Yarrowia lipolytica: one gene and its partners. The protein of the gene in region 2 purifies or fractionates together with the protein of the main gene of each other region. This does not show direct contact. Links are inferred from orthologs where the notes say so. Each region holds a gene or a part of one and is shown on either strand. Other genes may lie near its edges. The genes, in order: YALI1_A22157g, YALI1_F19192g, YALI1_B01628g and YALI1_D17370g.

What was found.
Region 1: the proteins of YALI1_F19192g (region 2) and YALI1_A22157g purify together in Saccharomyces cerevisiae (affinity purification with mass spectrometry, with the first as the bait; 3 studies listed by BioGRID). This does not show direct contact. The link is inferred for Yarrowia lipolytica from reciprocal best matches to the Saccharomyces cerevisiae genes UTP6 and ENP2.
Region 3: the proteins of YALI1_F19192g (region 2) and YALI1_B01628g purify together in Saccharomyces cerevisiae (affinity purification with mass spectrometry; 5 studies listed by BioGRID). This does not show direct contact. The link is inferred for Yarrowia lipolytica from reciprocal best matches to the Saccharomyces cerevisiae genes UTP6 and NOP58.
Region 4: the proteins of YALI1_F19192g (region 2) and YALI1_D17370g purify together in Saccharomyces cerevisiae (affinity purification with mass spectrometry, with the first as the bait; 3 studies listed by BioGRID). This does not show direct contact. The link is inferred for Yarrowia lipolytica from reciprocal best matches to the Saccharomyces cerevisiae genes UTP6 and SOF1.

Annotation. Positions count from the first base shown.
Region 1 is NC_090770.1:2,212,756-2,220,931, forward strand, and holds YALI1_A22157g (uncharacterized protein), read left to right. Parts: upstream 1-2,946; coding exon 2,947-5,031; downstream 5,032-8,176. Other genes in the region: YALI1_A22129g (uncharacterized protein), read left to right, coding at 105-716; YALI1_A22137g (uncharacterized protein), read left to right, coding at 943-2,709; YALI1_A22192g (uncharacterized protein), read left to right, coding at 6,413-8,143. UniProt on the Saccharomyces cerevisiae protein: May be involved in rRNA-processing and ribosome biosynthesis.
Region 2 is NC_090775.1:1,915,616-1,923,420, reverse strand, and holds YALI1_F19192g (uncharacterized protein), read right to left. Parts: upstream 4,127-7,805; coding exon 2,720-4,126; downstream 1-2,719. Other genes in the region: YALI1_F19244g (uncharacterized protein), read left to right, coding at 1-320; YALI1_F19218g (uncharacterized protein), read right to left, coding at 710-1,528; YALI1_F19216g (uncharacterized protein), read left to right, coding at 1,790-2,596; YALI1_F19180g (uncharacterized protein), read right to left, coding at 4,570-5,367; YALI1_F19169g (uncharacterized protein), read left to right, coding at 6,491-7,805.
Region 3 is NC_090771.1:158,735-166,507, forward strand, and holds YALI1_B01628g (uncharacterized protein), read right to left. Parts: upstream 4,076-7,773; coding exon 2,528-4,075; downstream 1-2,527. Other genes in the region: YALI1_B01644g (uncharacterized protein), read left to right, coding at 5,715-7,208. UniProt on the Saccharomyces cerevisiae protein: Required for pre-18S rRNA processing. May bind microtubules.
Region 4 is NC_090773.1:1,734,244-1,741,672, reverse strand, and holds YALI1_D17370g (uncharacterized protein), read right to left. Parts: upstream 4,610-7,429; coding exon 3,194-4,609; downstream 1-3,193. Other genes in the region: YALI1_D17410g (uncharacterized protein), read right to left, coding at 85-630; YALI1_D17355g (uncharacterized protein), read left to right, coding at 6,105-6,890. UniProt on the Saccharomyces cerevisiae protein: Required for ribosomal RNA processing.

The DNA of each region.
Region 1 (8,176 bases), on a different chromosome or scaffold from region 2:
TTCACTTTGTTGGTTATCTCTCCTATACAATTTAGATTCGCGCGCATGCAGACAGACAGACGTTATCGTCATGAAACTTCCACCTCCCCACACACCAAATCACCATGGCAGCACTCATCATTGTGGACTTGCAAAATGACTTTCTTCCTGGAGGCTCTCTTGCTGTAGTCGACGGAAATGACATCATACCCATTGTTCAGAAACTCGCTGACTCTGGCAAGTACAAATTTGTGGTGGCCACCAAAGACAGTCATCCCCAAGACCACACATCGTTCGCCGCCAACCATGGAGCTGAGCCGTTCACCTCAATCACATTCAAGCACCCTAACTCAGACAAACAGGTAGACCATACCGTGTGGCCTGTTCATTGTGTGGAGGGTACTTCTGGGGCAGATTACCCTCCTTCATTCGACTCGTCCAATGTGCAGGCTCTTGTTCGAAAGGGATACTTGCAGGACAGAGAGTATTATTCTGGATTTGAGGACGTTTGGGGCATCCACAAGACAGAGCTTCATGACCTGTTGCAGCAAAATGGCGTTACGGAGGTTGACGTGGTGGGACTTGCATTTGATTATTGTGTGTTCAATACAGCTAAAGACGCTGCCAAACGCGGCTATAAAACCACAGTCATTAGGGAAGCCACCAAACCTGTGGATCCTTCTTCTGAAAAAAAGATTGTTGCTAGTCTTGAAGAGGCTGGGGTTCATGTCGTCTGATCCACAACCCAAACCGACTGGTGATACTGCTGCCAGTACAATACTCGCACTCCGATTGACTGCTCAAATATGCAATGTACAGTACACTGTGTGTATTTTCGTCTCTACATTCTCTTTATGACGGGTCTTTTGGGGCTCACTTTCTACAGTATATCCTAACACTTTTGTCTCTTTTTTACACAACACATACCATACAACTCTCAACACAAGACTCTGTTTGTTTATCATGGACGCCCTATACACTGCCTTCAACTCTGGAAAGCTGGAACCCTTCGTCCAATCTGTGTATAGAGATGGAACCATCGACCTCTACGCCAACAGTGAAGCCATCTGTCTGTTCTCAGGGAGAGAAAATGAGCCTTACCTAGACAGCTTTTTGGGTGGTATCTGTCTTCGATACAGCTGCAACCGGCTGATCAACGAAGGACCGTGGGAAGACCGTCTGGAAGCTGCCAAGCAGATGGTCCAGATCCTCACTCGTCACTATAAGACGCCCATTATCGACTCCAGTGTTCTGCTGAGCATGCACTCCGTGTTCGATACCATGGTCTCTCTGGGTGAGGAATGTTGCGTCTCTTCAGGCTCAATCGACTTTGTGCGCTTCGGAAGAGTCTTCCATGGCATCACGCTGGTCTACATTTTCATATCCGAGCTCAACCAGGCATTAATTTCTATTCCTGACTTTCTGATCCAACGTTGGGGAGCACTCAACCTACGGGCCAACGCCCTAGGCATTTCTGTCCAACCCAAGACCATGACCAAAGTTCTAGACGAGTCTCGAGGTCTTGTTTTGGGCATGCCTGTGTCCAATGGAGATTCTGCTACTGCCCATTACCTACTTTCGCGATTCGGAAAGATCTCCCAGATACTGACAGGACTCCAACAGTCTCCAAAAATCAGCCTTGGTGAGATATTGAGCTTCTGTGCGTCAGAACCTGACCTGCAGTTCCTCTCTCTCATGCTTGTTCGTCAAGACTACTACGAAGAGCTTGTCGAGCTGCTGGAGAACCCTGATGAGGAGATTGTGGGCATGACGACCATTCTTATGGTTCGTGTTGGTCTCACAATCAGATTCATTGACCCTGAGGAGGAGCTGCCAAGCCATCCATGTGTCCCACGATACTCCACGGGTTCTCTCACCCAACAGATGGAGTTTGTGTTCCAGATTTTGGACCGTCCAGACCTCTTGTCGGCCAAAATGAACTCTTCTAACCCCCATCACACCTGGATGGGTGCTCTGTCTGCAGTGGTGACTGAGTGGATCGCCGCTGATAAACCTGAGGAGGTGTACGGAGCGAACAAGAAGTTCTATGAGCTTGATCCCCCTGTATCACTCATTTTTGCGCTGTGTAGACTCCTCTACCTCGTTTGTGAGATGAATGGGGCTGGAAATAAGGATCTTGTCATCGGTAACATTCTCTCCTATGTCTCTCCTCCATCTCCGCTTCTACCCTCCAAGGTAGAGCCTATCAAGTTGGAAGACAGGTACCTTCCTTTCCAGCTGGGCGAGTTCGAGGGCACCACGATGGCTACCCGGGAGAGAAACCACGTGATTCTCTCTTTAATTGGGGTCATTAGACTCCAGATTGAATACACATACTCTTTTATTCGCGAAGAGATTGACAAAGATCTGATTAGAGTGCTCTTTTCTGGACTCCTGGCAGCCTATTCCAACTGCGTTATCCACGAGGAAACGTCTTCTATCGAGCTTATCATGTCCACTTTCAACGGTTGCATCCAGGTCTTCCCGTCTGGAGGTCTGATTCTTGTGGAACTACTGGCTGAGCTTTCGCAGCAGTCTCTACGGTTTGTTGGGGTATTTGCCACCGTGTTCAGCAGGTTCTATGACAAGAAGTACTTTTACGGGTGCGAGTTTTACTTCAATGACTTCCTTAGACGTTGGGGAGACACGCCGTCTTTTGATATCACACAGCTGCGTTCCAAGTTCACTTCTTCCTTGGAAGATAGAGCCACTGTTTCTGGAAGTACTTAGTTACGGTCTTGCAGTATATTCTCTTCTTTTCCTATCATTACCATTTGTCAATAAATATATGCCGTTCAAGATCGATCTTGTAGCTAGTTTACGTAATCATTTTCACTTGAGAAGCCTATTTCAGTAACCTGGTTTAGGGCTCAAATATGCATGGTGAGCCTATTTGAAATTTTTTGGCAGTAATCTGCAGAGGGACACAAAAGTTCCAAGGTATATCACTGACGCATCAACACCACAATGGTCCTTCGATCTACACCTGGAGCCGTTTCTGTGTACCAGATTTCTGGTACAAACTCTTCCAGATCACTGCCAGAATGGCTGGCCAAGAAGCGAAAGAAGTCTCTCAAGAACGATGCCGAGTACTCCAACCGAATCGAGCTGATTCAGGATTTCGAATTTGCTGAGGCTTCCAACAAAATTGAGGTGACTCGAGATGGAGGATATTGCATGGCCACCGGTACTTATAAGCCTCAGATCCATGTCTACGACTTTGAGGATCTCTCTCTCAAGTTTGAGCGACACACTGACGCTGAGAATGTTGACTTCAAGATTATCTCCGACGACTGGACCAAGAGTGTGCATCTGCAAAACGACCGATCTATTGAATTCCAAGGACAGGGCGGAATCCTGACGAAATCACGAATCCCAAAGTTTGGACGAGCGCTGGCTTACAACGACGAAAACTGCGACCTGTATGTTGGAGCTGCAGGAAACGAGGTATACAGACTGAACCTGGACCAGGGTCGGTTTATGGCTCCCTTTGAGCTCAGCAGTGCCGGTGTCAACTGTCTGGACGTTAACCAGGCCCACGGTCTCCTGGGTTTCGGTACTGATGCTGGTATTGTCGAATTTTGGGATCCTCGAAGTAGGAGCAGAGTGGGTATGCTGGATGTGGGCGCTCCCGGACTGGGTGGCGGTGCCACAGCTCTCAAGTTCAGAAACGACGGTCTGAACGTGGGTATCGGTAACGCTGACGGTATTGTTCGTCTCTTTGATCTGCGAGCGCCGGAGCCCTATGTCACCAAGGACCAGGGATACGGTTTTGGCATCAAGAAGGTGCTGTGGGTCAACGACGACCATGTGCTGTCTGCCGACAAGCGAGTCGCCAAGATCTGGGACCGACGAACCGGAGACGCCTACACCTCCATTGAGCCCACTGTGGACATTAACGACGTGGCACACATCCCCGGTTCCGGTATGTTCATGTTCGCCAACGAGGGTATTCCTATGCATACTTACTACATCCCCAATCTGGGACCTGCGCCCAAGTGGTGTTCATTCCTGGAAAACGTCACCGAAGAGCTGGAGGAGAAGCCCAGCACTTCTGTATACGACAACTACAAGTTTGTCACCAAGCGAGAGCTGGCGGCACTCAACATTTCACACCTCATTGGCTCGGCCGTGGTCAAGTCGTATATGCATGGTTACTTCATTGACCAGCGGCTCTACGAGCAGGCCAAGCTCATCTCCAACCCTTTTGCTTACAAGGAGCACCGAGAGCGGGAGATCCGAAAGACTCTGGAGAAGGAGCGGGAGTCGCGTATCCGAACCTCTGGAACTGGAGCCATTGCATCCCGTGTCAAGGTTAACAGGGCTCTTGCTGAGAGACTATTGGCTGAGTCTGAGGCCGAGGTCACTAACAAGAAGAAGGTGTCTGCCAAGGAGACTTCCAAGGCTGCTCTTTCCGACGATCGATTCGCTGGCATTTTCGAGAACCCCGATTTCGAGGTCGACGAGAATGCTGCAGAGTTCAAGCAGCTCAACCCTTCGCACAAGAAGGTCAAGGGCCAGCAGTATGGTGAGGCACCTCTGCGAACTACTGCCCGACCCCTTACTGCTGCTGAGGAGGAGGCCATGGAGGAGAATAACGGCTACTCGTCCGATGAGCACGTGGAGGCTACTGATGAGGAGCCCGACTCTGAGGATGAGCGAAAGGCCGCCAAGAAGAAGGCTCTGGCAGAGAAGCGGGCTGAGAAGAAGGCTGCTGAGCGTGCAGCCTTCCAGGCCAAGCGTGCTGACAATATCAAGATGACTACGGGCTCTGAGGCTGCTCGAGAGGAGATTCCCGATGACGACTTTGCTGACCGAGTGGCTGATCTCGAGGCTGAGGAGGACCGGCACGTCATGAAGAACGTCAAGATGTCCAAGGGCGCTGGAGGAGCCGTGGAGATGACTTTTGTGCCTCAGGGAAGAGGCAAAAAGGGTCGTGGTCCTCGACCCAAGCGAGATGGAGATGAAGAGGAGGCACGGGACACTGGAAAGAGCAGACAGGAGTATGATGGTCGACGACGGGCTGGCAAGAACGCCTTCCGAGGTATGTAAGAAATGCATAATTAGTATAGAAGCGAAAGGATTCAAAGTATTAGTTCGAGAGATTATGTAGATGATGTAATGAATGCAGTACGAGTGTATACAACTGAGATACCGGTACTGTACTTGTACTGTAGCTACTCGAAAGACGCAGGAAGACACCGATGCAAACGCTTATTCCTACTCGTACTCGTACTATGATAGCACTGAAAACTGTATCAATTTGTCGTAACCGTGCCGAATGGCTTGCCGCACCATTTATTATCTCGCCGCACACCATTATCATGCTCCAGATCCTGTCACGCTCCACTTCCCGTAACTACCAGTATGTGTACATTCCTCTGCGGCTCCCCGTCCACCGACCGCAGATAAGATGTATGGCCACTCACCGGCTAATGAAATCGGTAGTTTGCTCATGCTGCCTTGCGGAAAAAAATGGTGAACACTAAACGGAGACTCCCTTTTGATAATAAGGTGTTTGGCGTATAGAGATACGGGTTTTGAAGTATAAGAGAGAAGAAGTGTAGGTTGCTGTATTTGGATCTCCCCAAGTCTAGTCGTATCACATCTGACTGTCCATGACGTGCTCTACAGCCATTTCTTCGTAGCTCTTCTTTCTATGCGGCTCTTGTTGAGTTTCAACGGGCCCCGCATGTACACTCCAGCCAAACTCAACTGTTGTGTATACTGTAGGTATGGTATGGTATGAAAGAACCGCCTGAGAGAGGTCTCGGGTTCCCATGCACGTGACGCCGCAACACAACGGTTGCGTTTAAGTTGGTGTCTTAAGTTTGGGCCCGAGTGGGGAAGGTCCTACGGGGCCACATAGCGGTTGGATGGCTTAGTAGTGGTGTGTCATCCTCCGGACCACTGATTTCTGCGCGCCCAGAAACGTCAGCAGCACACCACCCGCTTGTCGGCATGATTGCGAATAAACAAGTTAAGAGTTTCATTTAACGGAGCGAGGGCTGCTGAATGCACAGGAGGATAACGCAATGCTGCGCACACATTTTCGGCACGCAACCTAGCAGCAACTGTTGAGACTGCTGTGAGTGGGTCTGTTTAAGGGTTTGTGTGTGTGCCGGCTGCATGGGGTTAGGTAGGCCAGTGTGATTCAGCCTATACACCCGCGCCACACACGTAAAACTGCATCTCTATCTTCTTGGAGACAACGGGAAGCTGTCAACCTCAACTTGTTTGTCGGCCTTGCGGCGCTTCTTTTAGCCCTGGCCTTATAAGGTAAAATAGGGTTGGGCAAGCGGCTGGAATTACTCCGCGCCGCACGGACCTTTAGGGCCTTCGGCAGCAGTTTGGAGAAAGCAAAAGCCCAGAGCACACGAGTGTGGTTTGCACTTGTTTTGATTTTGGTCTGAAAAAGTCCCTATAACCCTACATGTCTGCTCAGGACGAACGCTCACGCATCCCCCCAATTTCCTCCCAGGCCGATTCCGCCCTTCTCAATCCGCCTCACTCTGCTCTTCAACAACAACAATCGTCTTCCAACGGCACCAGTAACCAACCAGACTCGTCAACCATGACGGACACACGAGGCCCGTTGATGACGCAGGAAGCCCGCGATCGCGAGACCCAAAACAGCCTGAAACCACATCCGCAGTCGCAGTCGCTCTTCAACAAACCCCAGATCGCACCTGTGCTCACTGAAGCTGCCTCAGGCTTGCGCCCCGACACCAACATCAACAGTAATAACAACAACGCCTCGTCGCATACTTCTCATACGACATCGCTCTTGTCAGCAGCAGCATCAGCTCGAGGGCCCGATGGATTGATCGCGCACATCAGAAATGCTGCACCCCCAACAGCGGCCATAGAGTCCTCGCCATACTACTCTTACCCCCAACCACATTCTCATATGAAGAACCATCCGCATCAGCAGCCTCCCGCAGCTCCAGGTATCTTCCCCCAGCATCCCCAGCATTCACCACCCCACCCACAAGCCCATCCTCACCAGCACCAGCCTCCAGCACCATACGGTTATGCCCCTGGGCGTCTGCCTCCTCCAGGAATGCGACCCCCCGCCATGGGCTACTACCCGTACTACCCGTACTCGGCCGATTTGCAGCGAATGCCTCCAGTCGACCAGGGAGACGCCTCACACCCCAAGCTGCCACGTATTAACGTCGACCCTCGTGTAAACTCGCCTGAACAACGACCCTACCCCGACTACGCGCAGCAGCAACCTCAACAGCACGCGCCTCTGCAGACCAGCAACAATAACAATCGCGCGCCTCCAGAGCAGGCGTCCACAGCTTCCGACTTTGGTGGCGACAGACCGCCACCTAAAAAGCGAGGCAGAAAACGAATTGAGGTCGCCGAGGTGCTGGCTAACAACGACCTGAGCCACTGCTCGCCTCTGGGAGAAAAGGAACTCGAGGCCGACCATCGAAAACACAAACGGCCCTCAAGACCTCAGGCTGCAGAAACCACTACCGGAGAACGGCAGTACCCATGCACCTTCCCAGGATGTGAATGGTCATTTGTGCGAATTTCCGACCAACGACGCCACCTGAGATCGCACCAGGAGCCGCTGTTTGTGTGTCCCTTCTACGCCGAAGACAACTCATGCCACAGAAACGGAGGCTCTTTCACACGATCAGATGTGCTCAAACGACATCTGCGGCTGGTCCACTTTGTGCAATTCAAACAGAGTGACTCGGGCTGGTGTAGATACTGTGAGAAGATCTTCCCATCACACAAATTCTTCCTCGACCATTGCGACACCTGTGCAGTCAACAACAAGAGAAAAACACGAAAAGGAGCACCAGACCACGACGCGGACTACAACCAGAACAAGTCTGAGCAGGCGCAAAGCCATCAGCAACCACAGCAGCAATTGCAGCTCACACAGCCCCATCAGTCTACTCATGCCCACATGCCTCCCCCCCAGGACGTGTCTCACAACGAAATTGAAGCCGACCAAGAGCCCGAGGCTGATCTCGAATTGCTCAGTACCGCCTCCAGTATGTTGGCCAAGGAGCCTGGAGAGCTTCCTGTTCTTGCATCGCATTTGAAGGGCCAGGAGGACTCGGATCGACACCAGAAACGAAAAGGCCGATCCTCCAAGAGTTCCCTGTCGGGAACCATTCAAGCAGGACATCATCTGTAAATTATTGTATTATTTATCTTACACGGAATTGTA
Region 2 (7,805 bases):
AGGCTGCCGCCGAAGCTGTGAAGATGGACCCTGACTCGGGAGCAGACACCTTACGGCTTTTCAGAAAACCTGTGGCCAATCCCCTCGACATCTCGCATGCCCCAGACGTGGAGCTGCTTTCTCCAGAAGAGCAGGTTCTTTGTTCCCAGCTGCGTATCTTGCCCAAGCCGTATCTGGCCATCAAGGAAACGCTGTTCCGAGAGCTGCTGCGAACCGGAGGTGTGCTCAAGAAGCGTACAGCCCGTGAACTGGTCAAGATTGATGTCAACAAAACCGCTCGAATCTATGAGTTTTTCCAGTCTCAGCGCTGGCTCTCTTAGGGCCTTGTTGCAACCCATATATAATGCTGAGTGTCACCAATCTCTTGGAATCCTGTATATTAGTTAATTTATTCAAATACAAACATTAGAAACAAAACCGCGAACACTAGAAGGGACAAACATCGAGTATCGTAGCTATTATACAAAGTTTATTGCAGTCTACTTCAGCTATACTCCCTTGCCGGGTATGTACTTGTACTTACCAAAGAGACCTGATCATTCCGCAGTTACCTCGTAGTTGTAACTACTAGGGTGCTGAACGACCACCTCATGCAGGACATCTAGCAGCTTAGTAACTAGATGGCTGGGCACATCTTCTCTCAGGGTGATCTGTGGTGTTTATGCAGTTGCCACCCATTATCCAGTCTTTGATCCACATGCCCGTTGCTCTATGCTTGCAATTTGCTTTCTCCATCTTTTTGCTGGTATGGTGCAGACCCAGGAAACTGCGACACCACCACACCATTCTTGTCTACACACTCGAAGTTGTATCTTGAGAGGTAATGTGGCAACGCACAAAGCTGGGGTCCATATCGCGCGGGGTTGTCATAGAGCTCGAAAAGAGGGACAGCAAGGAATGTCATATTCGATGGTACGAAGAAAGCAATCTTCTCGGGCAGAGAAATGAGGAAAGTCTTCTTGCATTCTTTTGGTCGAGAAATGTGCGGTGGCAGAAATGGATACATGAAAACCTCGAAGTTAGGTCTCCACCATTGCGCCAGGCAGTCTAGTACCTTCCATGACTTCGAGTTCTCCTGGTCCTCTCCGTTCTCAGGGCTGAGCCTATCTGCGAGCTTCCTCAGCAATCCACCCTCCTCGTCCTCCTCGTCGGGGTCCAAGTACTCTCCGGGAAGTTTAAAAAAGTTGTTTGGCAACTGGAGTAAGAAGACGTAAGGAGTTCCGAACTCATGACACAGAAATACCCCCTCCACGTACCGCAACATCCCCGATTCGTCGTACATGCTTTTCAGTCGTTGCATGCGCGCCTGCACAGAGACATCCCTCTCAACCTGAGCATCCTTGGTTGCGAACACGTAGTTGGAGGAGGGATACAGTCGTATGGTCTGTTGGCGCGCTGCAAAGTCTTGCGTTGGTGGTGGAATCAGTGTGGTTTTCCGTGACGATTGCGGTATGGTCGTCATGGCATGAAAGAAACTATGGGGAGGCTTGTTGCTGCTGCCTCTTACTTGTAACTTAGCTCCATGCATGGCCCATGTACGATCTGATTTCAGAGTAGAAGGCTCTTTTGGGCAGATATATGACTAATCAGCACAGGTTTGTGGCATTCCCATTTTTCCCATCTGGGTGTTCGAGGTGATGGTTGCTATGACACGATGGATGCCTCGCTGTGCCTTCCACATGTGGCTAATTTAGCCTTGACACCAAGCACTCTTTGTTTGGGCACGTGACGTAGCTGACCTTACAAGGTTCAGATCAACCATCTGGCCACACCATCCAACACAACCAACATGAGACTGGCCCCGCTTTTTATCGCCGGAGTGCTAGCTGCTGAGCCATATTTTTTTGATTCTCGGGGAGAAACAGATCTCAACCCCTATAGCATAGGCGACGATCTCCCTCTCGAATGCATTAAACGAAACATCCACGACGGAGAACACATGGTCGATGAAAAGACCCAAGAAATTCTTTATGAGGACTTCCCCATCTGCAGAGAAACAGGAAAGCCCCTCTCTCTTCAATACCGTGTTGACCAAGATGTGAATTGCACCATTGGATTCTCCGACACGCTCTACCACCTTTTCCAGCTCTATATTCACGAGGATGCTCCCTTCAGCTGCAGACTCAGAGCCTCCAAACAAAAGAACAAGAACGTGCTCTCAGAGCCTACAACCTGGCTTCCGTTGACATTCACCATTCGTGGCCACATTCAGGAGTCTCATTTGGACATCGACCCGAAGCTCAATGCCGTGATGATGTACTCGCGAAAGACCGAGACGCCTGTGGTAGCAGCCGCGTTTTCCAGAGGAACGGAGACCGAGAGATACAAGAACGGTGATTTTCTGCCCCTCCAGCTCTCTGTTAAGTGGTATCCCGGTAGCAACAATAACGAGGTGTTTACCCTCCCTGCCAACCCTGACTCCAACTCCGCTTTCTCTTCCACCACGCTCATGTGGTGTGCTGCAACCATGATCGCTACTGCAGCTATTGTGACCGTTGTTTTTCAGGGCGTGATTTTCCCACGAAAACTGCGATCAGAGAACTTCGGAACTCCCCTTCCTCGTTTTGCTGACTGGGGAAGCAGCAAGAAGGACTAAACATGATATAGAACAGTAAATATACCAAATATACCAAATATACCAAACATATCAAAATATTCTAAATATAGCTACTTATATACAGATGCAGTTTGCGTGTGTGTAAATATATATTAAAGATGCTTACATATCGTCCTCGGTCTTCTTGATGACGGCCTTAAGCGCTCGCTTGAGGTTCTCGTCGATCTCTCTATCAACAGACTTGCCAGCTGTAAGGTAGTCCGCCAGCTTCTCCTTGAACTGTGACGCAATTTGCTTACGGACTTGCTGTTGTCTCTCCGATCCCTTTTTCTTCCAGGTCTTAGACATGGCGACATTGTACTTGTTCAGAGCCAGCTTGAAGGCCTCAGGGAAGGAAGCATCAAGAGGGGACAAGTACCGCACTGAGAGGGTGATGTCATCCACCACCAACCGAGCAATATCTGCGATAGCACTCTCGGTGAGCTTCAGGGATGCGGACCCAATGTCGTTGTTGATTTGTTGCATGACAGCCTGGATGACATGTGCACAAAGGTACTCTCGGTCCATATCCTCAAACTCGTCAAAGAGCTCGAGGAACTGTCGTGAGAAAGACAGCAGGAATGCAAAATGAGGTGCAAGAGCGACTGTAAAAGATCCATCGTCATTCTTGAGACCAGTGTTGATCTCTGAAGAGTACCTAGGGATAGTCTCGAGAGCAGAGTCGAAGATTGCAAGAGCAACATCACCTCGAAGGGCAGGGTTGGTGGAGGGGTTACCGAGCATGTCAATATCAGCCTCAGGAAGAGTCTTGAGTTCAGCCTTGATGTCATCGTCACCATCAAGCTCAGGAAGGGCAATGACGTTTTCATCGTCAACTTCCTTTACTTCCTCAGCCTCTCGCTGCTTGTCTCTATCAGCAAGGATTCCAAGGAGCTTTCGTCGAGTCAGGATCTTAGACACATACAACAGCTCCAGCTTGGTGTATTCTAGCCAAAGCTTTTTGCTCTCGGGGTTGAATCTCAGACCTCTCTGGAAGACAGATCGTGCTGTCTGTGCTGCAGAGTTCTCATCAAACTCATGCTTGGCTACCATGATCCAGATGTCAGCCCGGTTGGGGAAGAGCTTGAGCATGTTAGTATGGACAGTCGACAGCTTCGCCATCATTTTGTAATGCTTCAGGAAAGCGATGTGCTGCTTCCACAGGTCAGCATCGCCTGCGAATTTCTTGGTTCCTCGGTCGAACACGAAATTGATTCGCCTTCGGCCGGCATAGTCGGAGATGTTTGTAGGGGTAGGCATGTTTCTGTTTCTGTTTTTCTTGAGCTTGGCAGCAGGATTGTTTCCGAGTCTAGCAATCCGCTTCATCCGAAGAGCCTCCAGATTTATTTCAAAGTGGGCATACCGCAAAAAATCTCGAGGCCGAGACTGTCTTCCGGTGATTCTGTGCTCGAAATCGGTTCGCTTACGCACAAGCTGAGCAATCTCTTTTTTGGTGAAGAGTCCTCGCTGTTCAAGGTCTTCGAGCTCAGGAATGCTCTGTTCTAGGTAGAATCGTACTTGGTCGGACATCCTGATGCTTGTGAAGTGGTTGGAAATATATTTTCTAGAGTTCCAAAATTTCTACCATCCTGCAGAACAACTGAACTCTATTTTGTATTTAACCATGTGTGCTGATTAAGCATGACATCGCAATAAATAACACATACGGTAGGTACGTGTCGGTAACTTATTGTTATGCCGTAGAGAAAAGGCAAGTTCATTGAATCAGGACTTAGTTCACTTCCTCATTTTCGAGAAAAAACAAACTCTCTCACAATGGTATTTCAATCTTACATACTGTACGTCCAGTTGTGTTGGTCTTAGTATCTATTGTACAATGTGCACGCAGTGTCAACCCTTGATCGTAAATACAGGAAGATTCCTTATGCTATATGAATGTAATAAAATAATATGATGGCACCAATTGGATGCCTATTTAACTGCGCGACCTTGAATATTCAGGTACGGACCAACTATCTGCCGTAATCCTTGAGGACACCATCCAGATGTGTGTTTGTGATCTTGCTTCGACGGGGCTTCTTTTGTTTCTTTGAACCATTCCCGTTGGCCTTGTTGCTCTTGATAGTGGCAGGATCCACAGATGTAGGCTTGAGGCCAGCCTCTTCCAACTTCGACGGCAACTCGGACTCATCGGGGACCTTGATCTGTGACCACATTGACCGGAACTCTCCATCAACCATGCCGATTGGCCCACCCATATTAGCCCACATCATTCTTGGTGAGTTCTCCTTCTTGGTACGGAGAACAATCAGATCTCCGCTCTGCTCAAGCTCTTCGATACTGTCTAGACAATCGGCCCAGCCGTCCTTAAGATCGCGCACGCTGAGACCCTTGGCTGTAGGTTGAGACTTAAGAAATGCCATGAGCTGTGCCTTGGTACGGATATTGAATTTGGGCATGTACTCAAATCCCCTCTGGACAGCGTTGTAGGACATCTGGTCCATCTTCTTCAATAGGGGCACCAAGAAATCAGCGCTTTGCAGCGACAGGTATGATCGAATGTTCTCGATCGGAACAACACCAACCTGCTTTTTGATGTACTCCACAGCATGCATCAACTGTGTAGCAGCGTGGCGGCCAACGTTCTCATTGAAGGGGTTCACGGGCGGAACCACCTTACGCTTCTTTTGTTGACCACCAACACCCTCCTCCTCCTCCTTGCGTTTAGCCACAAACGACGGCTTCTTGATCGTAGGCGCCGATTTGATCTTGTTTTTAAACGCAGAGAGCTGGTTGTCGAGGGAGGACATTTTGCGGTGGACTGACACAACTGTTCTCGTGAGATTTACAATATGGGCATGCTGATGAATAGGTTAAGGGTTTATTTCCCGATTTGGACATCATTGGGTACACTATGCCCAGACAGTCGGCAATGACTGTTGGGAGAATTGGTAGTAGGGTACGCATAATTTGTGAGGCAGAGAAAATTTCGGTTACCCGGTCGCAAACCGAAACACATATATATACTTTTCCCCCAGCACTTTTTTTCTCCAAACAAACTCCGTTTCTTCTGATGTCCGAATCGAGATGCTTGCACGTCGTGGCAATAGGGGGAGGCGGAGGAGATTGACAAATAACAACCTAAAAACCATTGCTGGAGAGGCGCCCTTAACTGCTGGCGCTCATGATACAGTGATGACCTGAGGCGTGTGACATTCTTCTATGTAATAATGAGGTAGAAATATCACGCATCGTGGCAAATTATGGGGGCTCTGTTCCAGCTCCTAAGTTTCCTGATGCGGAGGCAAGTACTCGCTCGTACTCGTACTGGTACAGTACTTGTACATATGTTTTCTGGTCCTGGTACTTTACGAGTGCATCTATTATCGTACGAACTGTAGACGGAAGTGCTACTGTAATGAAGTGCGAGAGGACAACGCAGGTGAACCTGGTGTGGCAATGAGCATAACGGTGATTTCGATTAACACTATACCCATTTCTTCGATGTTGTCAAATCAGTGCCGGACCCACAAACACAAGCACACACGCAATTTTAGTTTTTGAGTCCCATCCTACATTGTGCTATTGTACAATCCATCCTCCATTCCTCGCGTGGGTGTTTCGTGTTGTACTGTAGATCAGATTGACGTCACAATGCAGAATAGATCCCCACTGTTTATATTTAAATAAAGACATATACGACCATACCACAAAACCTGAGAGAGTTTGTAGGCTACTTGTAGAATGAGTAGCTCTGCTACCAGTCAATGGCCAACACAGTATTATCTTGCCCCGGAAACGGACCGCAACATTCTATTTACTCCGCATTATACTTAGGGGGGGGCGGGGCAGTACGAGTACATACAAGGATCCACCACACACGTCACAACTGTAAATATTACAGAACCTAACCAGATACAACATCCGCATGTTATGACACGACAAATGGAAAGAGCTGCTTCGCTGGTAGGATGTTTCCTTACCGGTATCGCGTGTGGTACCATGTACCTCTACTCGGCTTTTGCTCCCCAGCTAGGGCTGCGGCTCGCTCTTAATACGACTGACACGTCTAAAATCGGCATGATTGGAAACCTCGGCATGGCACTCAGTGGACCTTTTGCTGGTGTCGTTGTGGACAAGCACGGGTTCCAGGCGCCCATTATCATCGGCGCTCTGTTCATGGGCGGTGGTTACACTATCATACGGCTTTGCTACATCAATGTAGTGGCCTCCGTGCCTACTCTCGCGTGTGCCATGGCTCTGGTCGGAACGGGAGGAACCTTTGGATTTGCCAGCGCCATGAAATGTGCAGCTGTGAACTTCCCTAATGCTCGCGGTGCTGCAACTAGTGTCCCCATGGCAGCTTTTGGACTGTCTGCCTTCTTCTTCTCTACACTCTTTTCGACCTACTATGATGGCGTTACTCTCGACTTTCTTTTCGCTCTAGCCATTATCCCCACCATCCTTCTTGCTATTGGTATCATTACCGTGCGCCCCTTGCCTCCAGCTTTTCACTCAAGGGGTACCTCTGGTATCGAAATGCACACTCGTATCTCTCAGCCTACCAGCCCTCAAAGCCCCAGGTCCAAGGAGGCAGATGCTGATATCAAGAAAAGCAGCGCAACATCCAATAATGTGGATATTTATGGATTGAAATTGATCATGAATAGCCAATTCTGGAAACATTTCGTGATCATGGGGTTCATTGCAGGCATTGGACAGATGTTCATTTATTCGTGTGGGTTCAGCGTCAAGGCGCTACAGTTCCAGTCAAAGACCGTGGCTGGAGCCCACGATTCGGAGCAGTTGCAGTCTCTACAGGTGGGTGCCATTTCCATTGCCTCGTTCCTAGGTCGAATTGGATCAGGGTACTTGTGTGATTTGGCTGCTAGCAAGTCCCACCCGCGATCATTATTGTTGATTGCATCTACCGCAGCCTCTGTGATGGGTCAGATTGGAGCTCTGAGTGTCAATGAAGTTCACAACTTTTGGATGGTATCTGCGTTATCGGGTCTTGCCTATGGTATCTGCTTTGGTTCATACCCCACCATTTTGGCTGACTCGTATGGCATGAAGCACTTCAGCCAGAACTGGGGACTGCTGTCGCTAGCCCCCATCGTCCCATCTTACTGCCTCAACTTGTGGTACGGCAAGGTTTATGATTCGCATTCCATCGTCACCGAACGAGGAGCTCGGATCTGTACACTTGGCGCCGCATGTTATCATGAAGCGTTCCAGTTGTCGTTTG
Region 3 (7,773 bases), on a different chromosome or scaffold from region 2:
GATCGGTCTGGACATTTCGGTGAAGACTGACATAGTTCAGGGGTGCTGTGTTGGTAATGAATCTGCGGCAACGGAACGGCGGTAACGAAACGGCTCGTGGTCTTTTATCGCAATCAGGTTTTCCAGTTTTCCGTACAACTTCCACCCCATTGCGTAGTTTGTACAAACCAAATCCTCTCGCGTGACATTATTCACGGGGACCTCAATGTTGTATGGTGGTGAGAGCCCTCAAAGTGGTTAATTGGGTGTAGTGAAGAACTTGGCCGGAGAAGGAGGAAAAGATATCTTCGGAGTTGGGTGAGGGAAAGACTTGATCAGGGTAAGAGATGGAGTAGAAAAGTTCGGTGAAGGAGATCCCCGAGTGAGATCCATGAGGGAGATCTTTTCAGAAATTGATCCAGTCTTTCCATGTTCAGTGAGTGAACTTGCTGAAAAAGAAGGGGTGCATCCCGTGAAGAACCTATCTGCAGAGGATGAGCTCAGTTTAAATAGACTGGAGCAATGGCCACCCAACACCAACCATGTCGTGATCTTGGTCCAAAAAAATTATATAAGGGGGAGTTGGGACCCCCACTATTCTTACAGACAGACTCAGACGAACGCAGACAGTCACAGACGAACACAGACAGACAGAGTCGATCAACAGATATCCACTGTTGCAGTCAATGTCGCAGTCAACGTCGCAGTCAACGTCGCAGTCAACGTTGCAGACCGCCCTTTTGAGACCACCCAGTAAATGTCTGACATTATTCTTCTGGCAGCAGTGACAGATACACACACAATGTCTCTGGCTCCAGTGACAGATACGCACACAATGTCGCTGACTTCAGTGTTACTTCACACCGGTTCTCCGGTTCATGGTGAAGCCTTCAGTTTGTCTCCACTCCTTCTCTCTTCGCTCACTCAACGTAAGTACAGTCACAGATACCTCGTGAATGATAGCTAACACGGACCTGTGTCAAGGAAGTTTCACCCTTGAATATCTCTGTCAGTGGCTTTGCGAATGTATCACTGACTGGCTCTTTGCTCTGGCAGCGGCACATGTGATCCTCAAGAACTCACAAGGCACGGAGCAGGCTCGGTCATTTTATTCGGCCAAACTCGCTCTCAGCTCATGGCATTCGTCAGCTCATGGCTGTCAACAGGACATACAGTCTCGGATCTACTGACACTTGGCGCAGGCGGTCGTTCTCGCCTCAATGTTGAAATCGCCGAGAAACAAATCTCTACTCAAATGCCCAATCAGAAGCCGTCGCAAGGTTTCCATAGCGTATCAAAGAGATTCTAAGACTGATTGCCCAGGTCTTGGAGCTCGTTCGTTCGCTCACATTCTAGGCTCCACCCGGTCATCCGCTACATCCTTCCTCTCGCTTTTCCAATTCACCAGATCTGTTCATTCCCTCCATCACCCAGTTTCCTTCAATCCAATTCCCCCTCCACAGCCGTCCGGTCAATGGTCTCCATACGGTCGCCTACTTGTAGAGCCAGTGTTGTCCGTGAAGGATGGTGGTTGGAAAGAAAGGGAGTGAGGTGAATTAATGAGGTAATACGAGTGTAATGAGTGGTCCAGTGGTGAGGCAGGGTTGGGGTATGATCGTGGTCAAGGGGTAATTGAATTATTTCCTCTTCTACCGAGACCCCTTTATTGTTCAACCCCTTTACCTTCTGGCCGCAGCCGCGCAACACAGGCTCTGTCTTCTTGTCCAATGGTGCAGCGTCATTCATACCACGTCATCAAGTCGTTTCCATGCAACCTCCTCCGTTGACAATTCTCTACACGAATATCTATTCACCCTCCCCATACTGGCCTAGTTCTCCGCCCCTATACTCCCGTCATGATCAATCCTTGATAGCCTGCTCTTATCCCACAGTGCCCCCCAACCATTGCAAATGTTCTTAGCACAGAGGTGCCTCCGGTATTGATGGCGAAAGTCGCAGCCATTTCATTTGCAATACTTCGATAAGTGGCAGAAGCTCTCTGGCTTCTTCCGGAAAATCCAAGCTTCCCCTCGGAACTCGTTCCCAATCACAGCGCACGCTTTCGCACGTCTCCCACAGACACATTAATGATGACTGCCGACTTTGTACAGTCCTGATCACTACGGCAGTTCTCCATGCCACATTCCTCCTCACGGTTACGCTATAGGTGATAGGAATGTGTCCTACTTTCAGCCCGTGAGTACACTTGCATTGACTAACACAGGCCTTAAAGATCAGCATGTTCACAGGGGGTCCAGGGAATCACCAAGACGCTGCAGCACTACTCGGTTGTCGGTGTTCTGATACGATACAAGCAGTCTATCCCAACATTTATAGTCGGTGGTCAGTGGCAGTCGGCGCTCTTGGTGTTTTCTCCTACTGTTTATAGATCAGTAAATCTCGACTGTGAGTGGGCGTTCGCGGCGTTCGCGGCGGTCGCTGCTACTTTCTACTGCCTGGGTCGGTAACTCTCGACTCGGGCTGTGCCCTCATTTGTCGAACCTCCTCCGCGTCTGTCTAACAATTAAAATACATACCACTATCTACTTTACTTCTTGCTCTTCTTCTCCTTCTTGGGCTCGTCGTCGTCGTCCTCTCGCTTTCGCTTCTTGTCCTTCTTTTCCTTCTTTTCCTTCTTATCCTTCTTTTCCTTCTTGTCCTTCTTGTCCTTCTTTTCCTTCTTGTCCTTCTTTTCCTTCTTTTCCTTCTTTGCCTTCTTCTCCTTGACCTCCTCCTCAGAGTCGGAATCCTCGTCGTCAGAGTCGGCTCCGGCGGTGGTGTTGCCGACGGTGTCGGCGTCAGCGTTGTACTGCTTGCCGGTGGAAAGGTCGACCTTCTTGTGCTCGATCTTGTTCACGTCGGGTCGGACGGTGCCGACAATCTCCTTGCCCTCGAGCTGTCGGAGACGGTTCTCGACCTTGATTCGGTTGTCGATGCCGAGAATGGGCACGTCCTCCCGCTCCTCGGCAAATGCATCGTATCGCATGGACACGGAGGCCTTGGCGGCGAGCATTCGGGCAATCTTACCCTTGTTCTTGCCGGAGGCCTGGCCGATGAGCGAAGCGTGGTAGATGATACCGTACTTGGGGGTATCGTGCTTGGTCTTGAGGGCTCGGAAAAGGGCCTTCTCGGCACCAAGAATCTGGACGGTGGAGGCGGGGGCCTTGGCGAGGTTGACGAGGGAGCCGGAGTGGGCAATGAGCCGGGCACCGACGAGCTCGCCGACGAGGGCGGTCAGGTTGGGGGCAATGGCGGCCATTCGGGCGTTGAGGTAGTTGGAGAGCTGTTCTCGGTACTCGGCAAAGTCAATGACCTGGTCGGCGAGGCACTGGATGTTTTCGAGGTCAAACTCGGTGATTTCCGTACCCATGGAGACCTCGGCGGCAACCTTGAGGGCGGCCTCAACCTCCTCGGGGAGCACCTCAGACAGATCGGTCTCGGAGGCGTTGGATCGGTAGCCCATGGTCTTGATGACTCGGGCGTAGGCAATGTTGTCGGCGACAATCTTGGCCATCTCGGGGAAGTGCCAGCCGTACCACTCCTTGATTCGCATGGCGTATGTGTTGAGCTCCTTGTCCAGATCATCTAGTAATGCGATGGCCTGCACAATCATGGTGTCGACCTTGTCGGGGGAGAACTTGAGCTTGTGTCGTCCCAGCGAATGGGCCAGACCCAGGCTCATGGTGGCCAGGTCCTTCTCGGTGAGGCCGGGCAGCAGAGAGGGCAGGTTTTCTCGGATGGCTCGGAAGAGATCGAGCGAGGCGGACTCGGCAACCACGTCAAATGGCAGATCCAGCTTGTTGATGGCGTTGCCCAGCTTGGGGTCGGCCACCACCAGAGCAGACTTCTTCTCGTCCTTGAACTCGTTGAGCAAAGCAGCGAGCTTGTCGGAGACCCGGCCATCCACAATGGCGTTGACCTCCTCCAGAGCAGAGGCGGCAGAGTCAAACTTGGAGAAGCCCTTGACCTTGAACTGCGAGGTCACCAGCTCGGGGGTCGACAGCTCCTCGAGAATCGACTCCGACTTGTAGATCTTCTTGTCCTTGGCCTTAAGCACGGCGTAGCCGGCAGACGTTTCCGTCAGAATAAATGTCATGGTGTCGTGTGTGGGCGGTGGTGACGTAGATGACAAGTGCGGTTGTCAAGTGTAGTCAGTGGAGATGGATGGGAAAAAAATTTGGGACGACTAAATTTTTTCCAAAGTTTATTTTAGGGTTAGGGCCCAGGCGAGACAAGCCCAGATGAGAGTGTAGCGAATGTCTGGGCGAGTCTGAGCGGGGAAACATCTGAACTGATACATGTGGTATTTTCTGACCATTTCCCCATTTTCCCATTTTCCATTCTCATTTTGCCATCTTTCATTTTTTCCATATTTTCTCCAATTTTTCCAATTTTTCCAATTGTCTTTTTTTCTTTTATCCATTTTCCATTTTTCCATTTTCCATGTCCCATCGTTTCCACAGTGAAAATTCTTCTCCTAATTTTGCTGTGATTCAGGAGGCTTGAAATGGGGTTTTTTTTAGGGAAATGATTTATTGATTTGAGATTTGATTTTATCTGATTTATTTTGATTTTCAGATTTTCCGGTCCCAATTTTCCCATTTTATTTCAGATTTTCCGGTCCCAATTTTCCAAAAAAATTCCCACGCTACACCACATCTAAATACGGTCGAATCTTCCTAGACGGCTCCATATTTCCACTAATTTCACAATAAAGTAGGTACATTGTGCGATTTTCTTTTCTTCCTTTTCTCTTTTTTTATCCCATTTTTTTGTATATATTTGTATATATTTTTATATTTTTTTTCATTTATTTATTTAATTTCTAGTTATTTTTTATTTATTTTAATTCATTTGCTGAACCGCTCTTCCGATCTGCATATCACTGCAGAAAGTGATATCGATAAAAAAATAGTCAGATATACTCAAGTGGAGCCAAACGGAAACAGGATCGACGGGATTGAATGATCACGTGATGAGAACAATGGGTACTTTCAGGGTGGTCACGTGATCAGAGTCTTGGTCGGCGCGGTGGGGGTGACCTTGACTGACCTGGGGGGGGGGAATGTCTGATGGGCTGTCGCTGACTAAGGTGATAATAGGGCAGAATTCGTAATGCAGAATTTGTAGATTAGGAGATTCTTGGATGCTCACGGTGATGAGGTACTCGTATTGTAGGTACTCGTAGATATGTCTTACCGAAAACAAGTGGACGAGATCACCTTTTGACGAAAGAGACACTCTTTTGGCGATTCCAGAGACTCTGTTTGGCTTCCCACGACTTCTGATGTATACACTGACTCTCATCTTGAAGCTCCAACATTGCTCAGATTTGAATGGTTGAAGTTGCAGTTTGTTAATGGGGTTGTTTTAAATAGTATGCTCCATTCAATATTTCTCATTTGTTCTTTGATTGTGTTGAAAAACATGAAAACTATCTGGAAAGGGTTTGGTAACAGTAGCTAACCAAGTTTCAACAAATGACACCAGAATGCTAACCAATTTTCAACAAATGTCAACAAGTAAGATTTCAGATAAGTTCGTCTCCCGCCGACCGTCCACCCGAAATATTAATACCATTGTGGAGCTGTGATTGAGGAGATTCCAAATATTTTATTTTCGACACGATTTCATTGACCTACCGAGAACTGGAGGGCCCGTCTGGTTCTAAATAAACTTTCTGCACTTACTCCAGACACTTGTCACCACTTTTAGCCACTCTCTCCACTTGACCAATGATCAAAATCAAGCTGAAGCCCGAAAAACGGTCGCCGGAGGCATCGCCGGAGAAGCGGCGGACCAAGAAGCGCAAAACGGATGAGGAAGGGGCCAAACCGAGCACTCCGTCGCTCAGCATCAAGTTGAAGGCGCCCAAAAAAGAGCGGGAGTCCAAGCCGCGGTTGTCCCTGAAACTGAGCAACAAAAAGAGCGAGAGCGCGGCGCCGGAAAGCAGCCGGGCGTCGACCGCGAGTGGCGGATCCACTAAAAAGAGCAAGGTGGTGCCGCGGATCCGAGTCAAGGCCGCCCGCGAACCGGGCCAGGGATACGACAGCGAAGCGCCGGACCGCGAAGACGATCCGCTGATTGAAGAGGGATTGATTTTGCGATTCCCACCAATCGGTAAAAGAGGCCGCGACGACCTGTCATATCTGCGGACGGCGGTGGAGAACCAGGATTACAGCAACATTGTGATTCGGTTCAAGGACTCGCGCAGGGCGGTGGTTTCTGTGCGGGGGCGGCATTACGCGGCGAAATTGGTGGACTTGCCGGCGATCGTCGAGGCCCAAAAGACGTTTGACCGCGGCAAAAACATGTTCAAGTGTCTGGACATTTGCCAAATGTTACTTGTCACCGAGCCCATTTCGTCCGAACACAGCATTATGGAGGCGCGGTCGATGCAATGGGACAAGAGCTCCAGCGAAAGCGCGCTGACCTGTCGCCATGGCCTGACTCCGCCGTTGTTTGACGCCAAACGTCGCCGATTCAGAAAAACCGTGTCCACAAAGGTGATTGAATCGGTGGAGCAAAAGGTGACGGACTTGCTGGATCTGGACGACGAGGCAGACTCCACATCATATGAGCTTGTCGATGGACGCACCCTGGCGTCCTTGTATGGAGCCGGTGGGGTTGCGGGCTCGCAATCTGTGTCTACCACTGTTTCTGCCGCCGCCACTCCTCCTCCGCGGTTTGCCATGGTCGACGAGGGAGAAATGGACGTGGATTTGCTCGATAAAGAGCTGGAGCGGGCCCTGGAGGACCAAGGCTCGGATGAGGGCGAAGAAATCGAGGCCGATGATGCGTCCGAGTCCGAAGATGAGGGAGAAGGCGCAGGTGAGTCGGACAACTCGGACGAAGAGGAATTGCCCCGAGCGTCGGCCGGAATGGACGATGACGACGACGGTGAAGAGGGAGGACACGCCAAGGTGCTGGTCGACACGATTGCAGATCTGGAGGCGACCATCAAAAAGCAGCAGGACGACGCCGACCGCACCGCCAACGCCATGCTCAAGGAGCGGTTCAACCAGCGAATCTCCAAGCTCAAACATGAGCTGGAGGTCAAGAAGAAACAGCTCAAGGCAAAGAATACCATCAAGGAGAAGAAGAAGGAGATCGATAAGAAGGAAAAGAAGGAGGAGAAGGAGGAGAGTGAGGACAAGGTGGAAAAGGGCGAGGTCAAGGACAAGGGTGTGGGCAGTGACGACGATATGGATTTGGATGATTTGTTTTAGCCGAGCTCGGCAGGGTGGGAGTTGATATGGAGAAAATCCAGACCCGAATCTATTCCGTTCCACACCAACGACAAAGTCCGATGGGTCCGCTCGTGGTCCGTTCACCAGAGGAGTCGACCTGTGAACTTCAGTCATCTCTCTACACTGCTTCGATATGCCACGGGACCTCCACCGTATGTCGTCTAACAACGGTCTGCATCGGTCTAATGAAATACAATAATTTATTCTGGTTCTGTACGAGTAGTGGAGGGTGTGTGCATGTTGTCATATGACTGGCATAGTTGTCCACGTGTTCAGTTTTCACGTGACCGGAGCACAAGATCGAGTAGTTGGTCACGTGTCCAACTTCCGCGTCTCACGTGACGACACTATGATACTTTGGTTCTGTCTGCATGAGATTCATTGACTTGGAGGTGACTTCATTCTTCCAGAGCTACATACGGTCCGTCCCCTGAAAAGAAGTGCACAACCCAGCCAATAATAAACCTATCGACGGTTAACAACAAAACAATTGTGTTCACCTGAACAAGAGCTCTTCAACGATATAATTTTTACTAATGTTCTG
Region 4 (7,429 bases), on a different chromosome or scaffold from region 2:
TGTGTAATCCTGTGTTTCGGACGTTAGTCACCGAACATGACAGTCCGCGTGGTTTCACAGTTCTGCCCAGACGTGTGTATGCGTCTACGCCCGTCCAAATCCAGGAGGAGCCTGGAACCCGGGAGGAGCTCTTCCTCCAGGCGCACTTCGCACGGGACCTCCCAATCCCGGTCCTCCAGCTCCTCTGGGACCTGTGGGGATGGCCCGGTTGATGCCCTTGGCAGACCCGGATCCGGGTGTCAGAGCGGTGTTGCCCAGTCGAGCTGTAGGATCTGTGGGAGGAGGAGCCTCGACAGACACAGAAACCACAGTCTCGCCTCGTAGAATGACCAACCCCAAAGTCCGTTTCTCCTCAGTGATGGACACGGAAGAAGCGTCGCCATTCTCGATCTGGATAGTCTTTTTTGCCTCCAGCAGCGACTTTTTCGTTGCCCGGAACTCCTCGCAGTCACTTAGAACAAGATTCATGTACCGGTCGAACGCCAGCATCTGTCCCACCATCTGCTTGCCATCCACAGTCGTCACCCGGAGCCTGTAGTTGACCAGATCGGCCATTTTTGTCTTGTTTGGTACCTGTGTTAGCAAAACGCTGGAGCTGCTCGTCCCATCGAGCGTTTTGAGATTAATCATGTAACACTTTTGGTCACGTGATGTAGATCTTCAAGTGATGTCGGTTGCCACATGATGGCTCTTTCCAATCATACTCACAATCATCTTGTGTGACGGTGTGTGTGTGTGTGTGTGTGTGTGTGTGTACAGTAGTGCAATGTCTCGTTGGTGATGCACAACTGGAGGATCAACTTTGTGTGCAGATTGTCATGCAGTAGGGTAACTGGGTATGGCGGCCGAAGTGGACAAAAAAGCGGTTGATTTTTGTGCATTAAAAAAAATGGGAATTTCGAGTTGTTTCTTGGTCCTCTTTTTTTTTTCCTTTTTTTTCCTTTTTTTATTTTTTTCTTTTGTTAATTTATTTATTTCTCCATTTCTTATTTGGTTGCTGCTGTTGAAGAAGAGGTTGGAGAGGTATACCTTTGCCTTAGTCGAACGTCCAGAGATGGAATTATTGTTGGACAATAGGGAGACCTGAAAATGTAGAAATGATGGGCTTGAGTGGGGTTTCTATTGGTGTAATTTTCATGTCTAGCGAATAGCTCGTTTGTCATCAAATCAGAGACTATGTATTGTCCCTAGTAATCGAGGTGTGATTACATAATATCAAAATAATCAGCTTGAGTAGACTACCCATTAGTGTAGTCTTAGTCAGCAAATCGGAGATTGTTTGAAAGATTATTAATGATAATCAAAAATATATGTTTTAATAAAAAATGATGATATAATGAAGAGAGACTCGCACCTTCGTTGGACTACGACTAACCTACAAGTAGCTACAAGTACTTTCCTTTCAGTATATCCCTGGTATCTCTTTGTCAAGTATCAAAATAATCCCCTCGAATCGCTTTATCCATCTCTATCCAACTGATGTTACTTGTTAGTCATCAAGCGGTGATATCACGTCAGTCATCAACGGCAACATGTTGTAGTCATTATTAATTGATTAAATATACAGTGAGCAAAGTGTTCTCTAGGCTGGTTTGTGGTTGACCATGTCGTATCTTTGACATTCAGTCACTTGTCGGACACAATTAGTTGGCCTCCTTGGTCAGCTGGTCGCCGTTGACAATCACCTTCTCCTGGGCGATCTTCTTGAGGTCTCGCTTTCCAAGGTGCTCGATGTTCTTGAGCTTGTCGCCGTTGACGATGGCGTTGACCGGGGCAGGGGCAGGGGCAGGAGCAGCAAGAGCCAGGGTGGAGAGAGCAGCAATGAGAGTGGTGGAGAGTCGCATGGTGGATGTGGCAGAAACGAACGTTGGTTGGAACTAACAAAGACGAAAGACGAAAGACGGAGACGCCTCCCCGCTTATATATATATACCGCGTCAGAGCCAGGGTTAGAGTTGAATATGAACGCTTGGCTCCTGCACGTCATCCCTTGGAGTATGTAGATGCAGGGGGAAGGCGGCGGGATCGAGGAGAGGGCCAAACGCGGGACTGGGGCTATCACGTGACGAAAGGAAGCAACGACACTGTTGCTTGTAGTTGTTAATGACGTGATCAACGACTTTTTCCCTGCTTGCCACTGCGAATAAGCGCCTCTCTGGCCCACATCCCTTGTGTTTACAATCTATTGTTAGCATTCTTCCTTTCAACTTTATCACAGAGTTGGGGCGGGAGCTAGACTCCGTTGCTGGGGGTGAAAAGACGTGTTTTTCGTGTCGCACGGACCGCGACTCGGTTTTCGCCCCGTCCAGATTGCTTAGATGCCAGCCTTTGTTTCTATATCATCCGCTAAACCCCATAGATAGCCGCAGCAAGCAGTATCTCAGCTCTTGGCACCTACGATAATGCACGTCATACTTGTAAACAATGAGCGCATAGTCCGAACACACACAGGGATAAGGTGTCAGCCAATTGAAAGTGGTAGGAGGTCCGGCGAGCCCGCGAGTGCGAGGCGGTACGACGGACAGCGAGGCGGTAGCGTGCGACGGGCGGTAGCGTGCGACGGAAGGTATGAGGCGCGTACGATACGACTGCGAGACGGTACGAGGCGCGTACGATACGACTGCGAGACAGTACCGTACCAGTACGACGGACGGCGAGACGAGAACCGTACCAGTACGTACTGGCTGACTTAGCAACTAACGTACGACGGACGGCGAGACAGGTACCGTACCAGTACGGACTGACTGACTTAGCAACTAACGTAGATTCATCCTTCTACCACCAGCAAATCGGACCTCAAGTCCTCACATCCACTCGAATAACGGTCCGGTACTGGTATTTGTATTCCAGGTATTTGTATTGATACTTTCGTAAGTCGCTCAACCTCTGGCCGTTCCACAACAATCCCATCCGGCCATATCTTTCTGACTGACTACAGAGTCCAGGGGGTGGCGGAGTTGATGGATGTGTTCAGCTCATCAGTCTTCAACCAAGTACAGTAATAATAAAAAATGCACTCATATATATGTTATATCTTTTTTGAAACACGACCGCGGCTGTGTGCGCCATGTCACTTGTGACAGACGACGTTGTGTCGAAAGTGGAATGTCGTTTCACAGGTCTATATTAATATCGTCGTGTAGTCAGATGTCATTTCCTCACGTGTTCTCGTCGTGCTATTCACCTGCAAAACACTAGACATTCTTCCAACCTCCCTCAACACTCTCCTTATGCTGCTTCTTCTCCTCCTGAATTCTCTTCCACTCCTCAATCTTCTTATCGTCCTTGATGGCAACACCAACAATATGCTGCTGTTTGAGATGAATGTCAGGCAGGTTCTTGTTATGCTTTCTCTCGTTGTCCTGTCGTCTCTTGAGAGCCTTTCGCTCAATACCCTTGATTTCACGGGCATTCTTGATGGCAGACGGCACGTGTCGGTGTCGGGCAATGGACCGCACCTCGGGCATGTGTCTGTATCGCTCCTTGAGAGCGTCGGTGTATTCTCGGGATGCCCGCTCCCTGGACGACCGGACACCGGCCTTTTCGGAGGCCTTGGCTCGCCACAGACGCACGTTACCGTCATCTGAACCCGACAGAATGTACTTGTTATCCAGAGTGAACTTTGCAGAAAACACCCGCTGCATTCGCTTGGTGTGGTAAATGTCTCTGGAGAACCGTTCTCGGACGTTGAAGATTCGGATAGTCTTGTCATAAGAGGCGGTGACGATTTCCCGGCCGGTGGGCGAGTAGTCCACGTCCATGACCGCAGCCACGTGGTCCTGCAGGAACGATGTGCATGCAGACAGGTTTCGCATGTCGTAAAGATAGACATTGTGGTCTTCGTTGGCGGCACAGAACATGAACGGCACCTGGGGGTTCCATGAAATGGCATTGTTGTTCATGCTGGTGACCAGCTTGTTGATGGGCGAGTTGGTTCGGATGTCGTAGAGGGTGAGGGCTCTGTCGGAACCGGTGGAGGCAAACACAGCGTGCTCAGAGGGAGAGAACTTGAGAGAAGTGATGGTGTCTGCGCCCCAGGACAGCGACGAAAGAGGCTTGGACCGGGTGGTGTCCCACAGCTGCACCTTTCCACATCCAGTGGCAAACTTGGAGGTGTCGGGACCTCGCTGATGGTCAATACAGTTGAAGCCTCGGTCTCCCAGATACACCTGCTTGGGGTCGGGGTTCTTGTTCTTCATGTCCCACAGCTTGACGGTCTTGTCAGAGGCACACGACAGCAGTCGTCCCTCGGGTGTCACTGTCAGACCACGCACAATGTTCTCATGGGCCTGCACGGAATAAGTCTCCTCCTGCGACGTCAGGTCCCAGTACTTGATCACTCCGTCAGCAGAGCCCGACGCCGCAGCGTTGAGCATCCGCGGGTTCAGAGCAATCGTGTACACGCCGTCGATGTGGCCTCGTCCCAGCTGGCCCACAAACGGCTTTGCAAACATTCGCTCCAGCTTGGTGGCATTCAGCGCTTTTGTGTATTCTCGGGCTCGCTCAAAGGGATGCAGCGCGGAGTCGAGGTTTCGGGGCTGCCGCGACGTCTCGGAGGCTCGGTCGGCAAGATAGGCGTCCGTGGACCGCGAAATGGTCTTGATTTTCATGATGGTTGTGTGGTTGCAAGGTGGTGCCAGATAACAGAAAATAGAAGGCTAATCGAAAATATTTTTTTAAGGTTGCAGATGGGTGGTTGTGCTGACTAAGCCAGTATCGACGAGAGCACAACGACTAGTTCTGGAGCATGTTCGCCCGAGACACTGTGGACTGGAGAGTTGTATATGTTGGTTTAGTTGGTTTAGTATGTAGTTTGATGACTAAGAAACATTTTCTCTTATTCTGATGTGCGTTTTGGGGTGGTTGTGGACGTGGGGGGATGGTCTAGAGTCCGAAAGAACCAGATATGAACATATATGGAGGATTCTGCGGGTTTGAAAGATGCTAAATCCATTAAATTGACCAATTCTGGTCTCTATATAACTTCTAGGAGAGTGAGAGTGGTGTTTGTACCCTCTCCCTGAGGTCTGTGTATGGCTTGACTGAGATACCAGGTTACTTGTAGAGTAGTGTCTAGTCTATGCATTATTGTACAAGAAATAAAGCTGAAACACTCCTCTCCGGTTCTTTCTCATTCTTTCCCACTTTTCTCGGGCTCCTACTTGGACTTTCGAGTCAGCAACTCTTCACGTCTTCATATGCTGACAACTTAGCAAGCACAACATTATGATGAGAAAAAGGGCCATTTTGAAACCAGAAAGGCCGATTCACTAGTCCCTTTGTGTCACCAAGCCTGTTTTTCAACTCTACAACTGTCCGTACCCCTTCATTGTGCCTCTCAGGGTCTCTCCACAACTATCTCACCATCCCAGCTTATGAACACACCAACTTTTGCCACAGTACACCAAGTGAAGGGTGTTGGATATTGCTAGATATCTTTCATTAAGCTTATTACAATGGTACAGTTGTTTCTATTCTAGTCCCTCCACATCACCTCAACCAGACGTCTTTCTGACTCTCTAGAAGAGGAAACCTCGGGAAACGGCCCTAGTGATGCCATTCAAGTTCTAACCAAATCAATATTTGTAAAAAAAGGCCCATTATGACGCCTCCTCAGTCTCTGAGACCCTCTGTCTGATTCAGGGAGATCGTATCGAACTCCACTGAAACTACATTGTTTCGCCACATCCTATAAAACTCTGCAAATCAGGGTCGTTTTGGTATCATTTTGAAGCTCTACAGCTGTAAAATTCATCTGAAAGGTCAGATTTGCAATATTCCGCCTCTATCGTCCTCATTTCCTATCTCTTCATATATCTGCTTATTAAGATTACCTTAGTGTCAGACTGTATGTCCGACAAGAGGGTGACCCAAAGCGACCATTTCTGGTTGTTTTTTCGGGCAGAAAACCCCAGTAGCCACTAACCAACCTCGTCGACAAATCTCGCACCTCCATTTCCCTGCCAAATTTCCCCAAGACCCCCAAATCTCTCCCCCAAATCCCACCGCCAAACTCTAATTGCCACCTTGGGTCCCAACGCTATATCTACAGTACTTCGAACCAGCACATCACCAACCTGTACACATCTTCATACAAAACACACAATGCCAGGATTGTCCTTCTCAAACTACCAGCGAAACGCGCATCTGTCGGCCAAGGGCGTCAAGGTGCCGACCGCGACCTCCACCGGAACGACAATTGTCGGATGCAAGTTCGATGGCGGCGTGGTGATTGCGGCCGACACCCGAGCCACCAGTGGCGACATTGTGGCGGACAAAAATTGCGAGAAGCTGCATCGAATCGCTCCCCACATCTGGTGCGCGGGAGCCGGCACCGCTGCCGACACGGAGATGGTCACCCAGCTCACCGCGTCCAACATTGAGCTGCACTCGCTGTCTGCGGGCCGACAGCCCCGAGTGGTCACCTGCCTGACCATGCTCAAACAGCACCTGTTCAAGTACCAGGGCCACATTGGCGCGTACCTGATTGTGGCGGGCGTCGACCCCACCGGGCCCCAGCTCATGTCGATCCATGCCCACGGCTCGACCGACGTTGGATACTACCTCGCTCTGGGCTCCGGATCCATGGCTGCCATGGCCGTGCTGGAAGCCAACTGGAAGCAGGAGCTGACCAAGGAGGAGGCGATCCAGCTTGCATCCGACGCCATCGAGTCCGGTATCTGGAACGATCTGGGATCCGGCTCCAACGTTGACATCTGTGTCATGGAGCAGGGCAAGGACGCAGTGCTGCACAGAAACTACCGAACCCCGAACGTGCGTGAGCAGAAGCAGCAGAGCTACAAGTTCCCTAGAGGCGTCACTGCCGTGCTGGACGTAAAGGTCCGAACCTTTGATGTCGTTTCCACGGAGGTGGTTATGGGTGAGGCGTAGTTCCGATAGTAGCAATGCGTTACTGAGTTGCGCTCTGGATTGGGTAGTTGGAGGGGAAGTTGGAATGAAACCGCTTAGATGAGCTGATGAACGAGTATCAAACTGCAATGCAAACAGAAGGATTGACTGCCATAGCCATTCGATCGTCAAACATAGGAGCATGAAGGATACTCGTATAGTTAATGATAACATATTAGATAAGTGTGCTTCAGATGTAGAGTCAGCGCCGTGCTGGCTAGTTTGTGGACGAGTATCGTAGTAATCTAGGTGAATGGTAGTACACTACGCGTACACTCCGTGGCCTTATCGTCGACATTCATCTACGTCGACACCATCTAAGTCGAAGAACCGTCTAGAAGAACCGTCTAAAAGAATTTCCAGAACCCGATTACCACTTTTTCTCCAACTCCAGTATCCTCACCCCTTCACCAATAATCCCACTCCAAAACTCAGGTCACGTGACCTTCCGCCCACCGTTGGTGCGCAAGAATAAAAAACTGGGCATGTTTCGGGGCTGTTGGTGTAGTGGTAACATATCT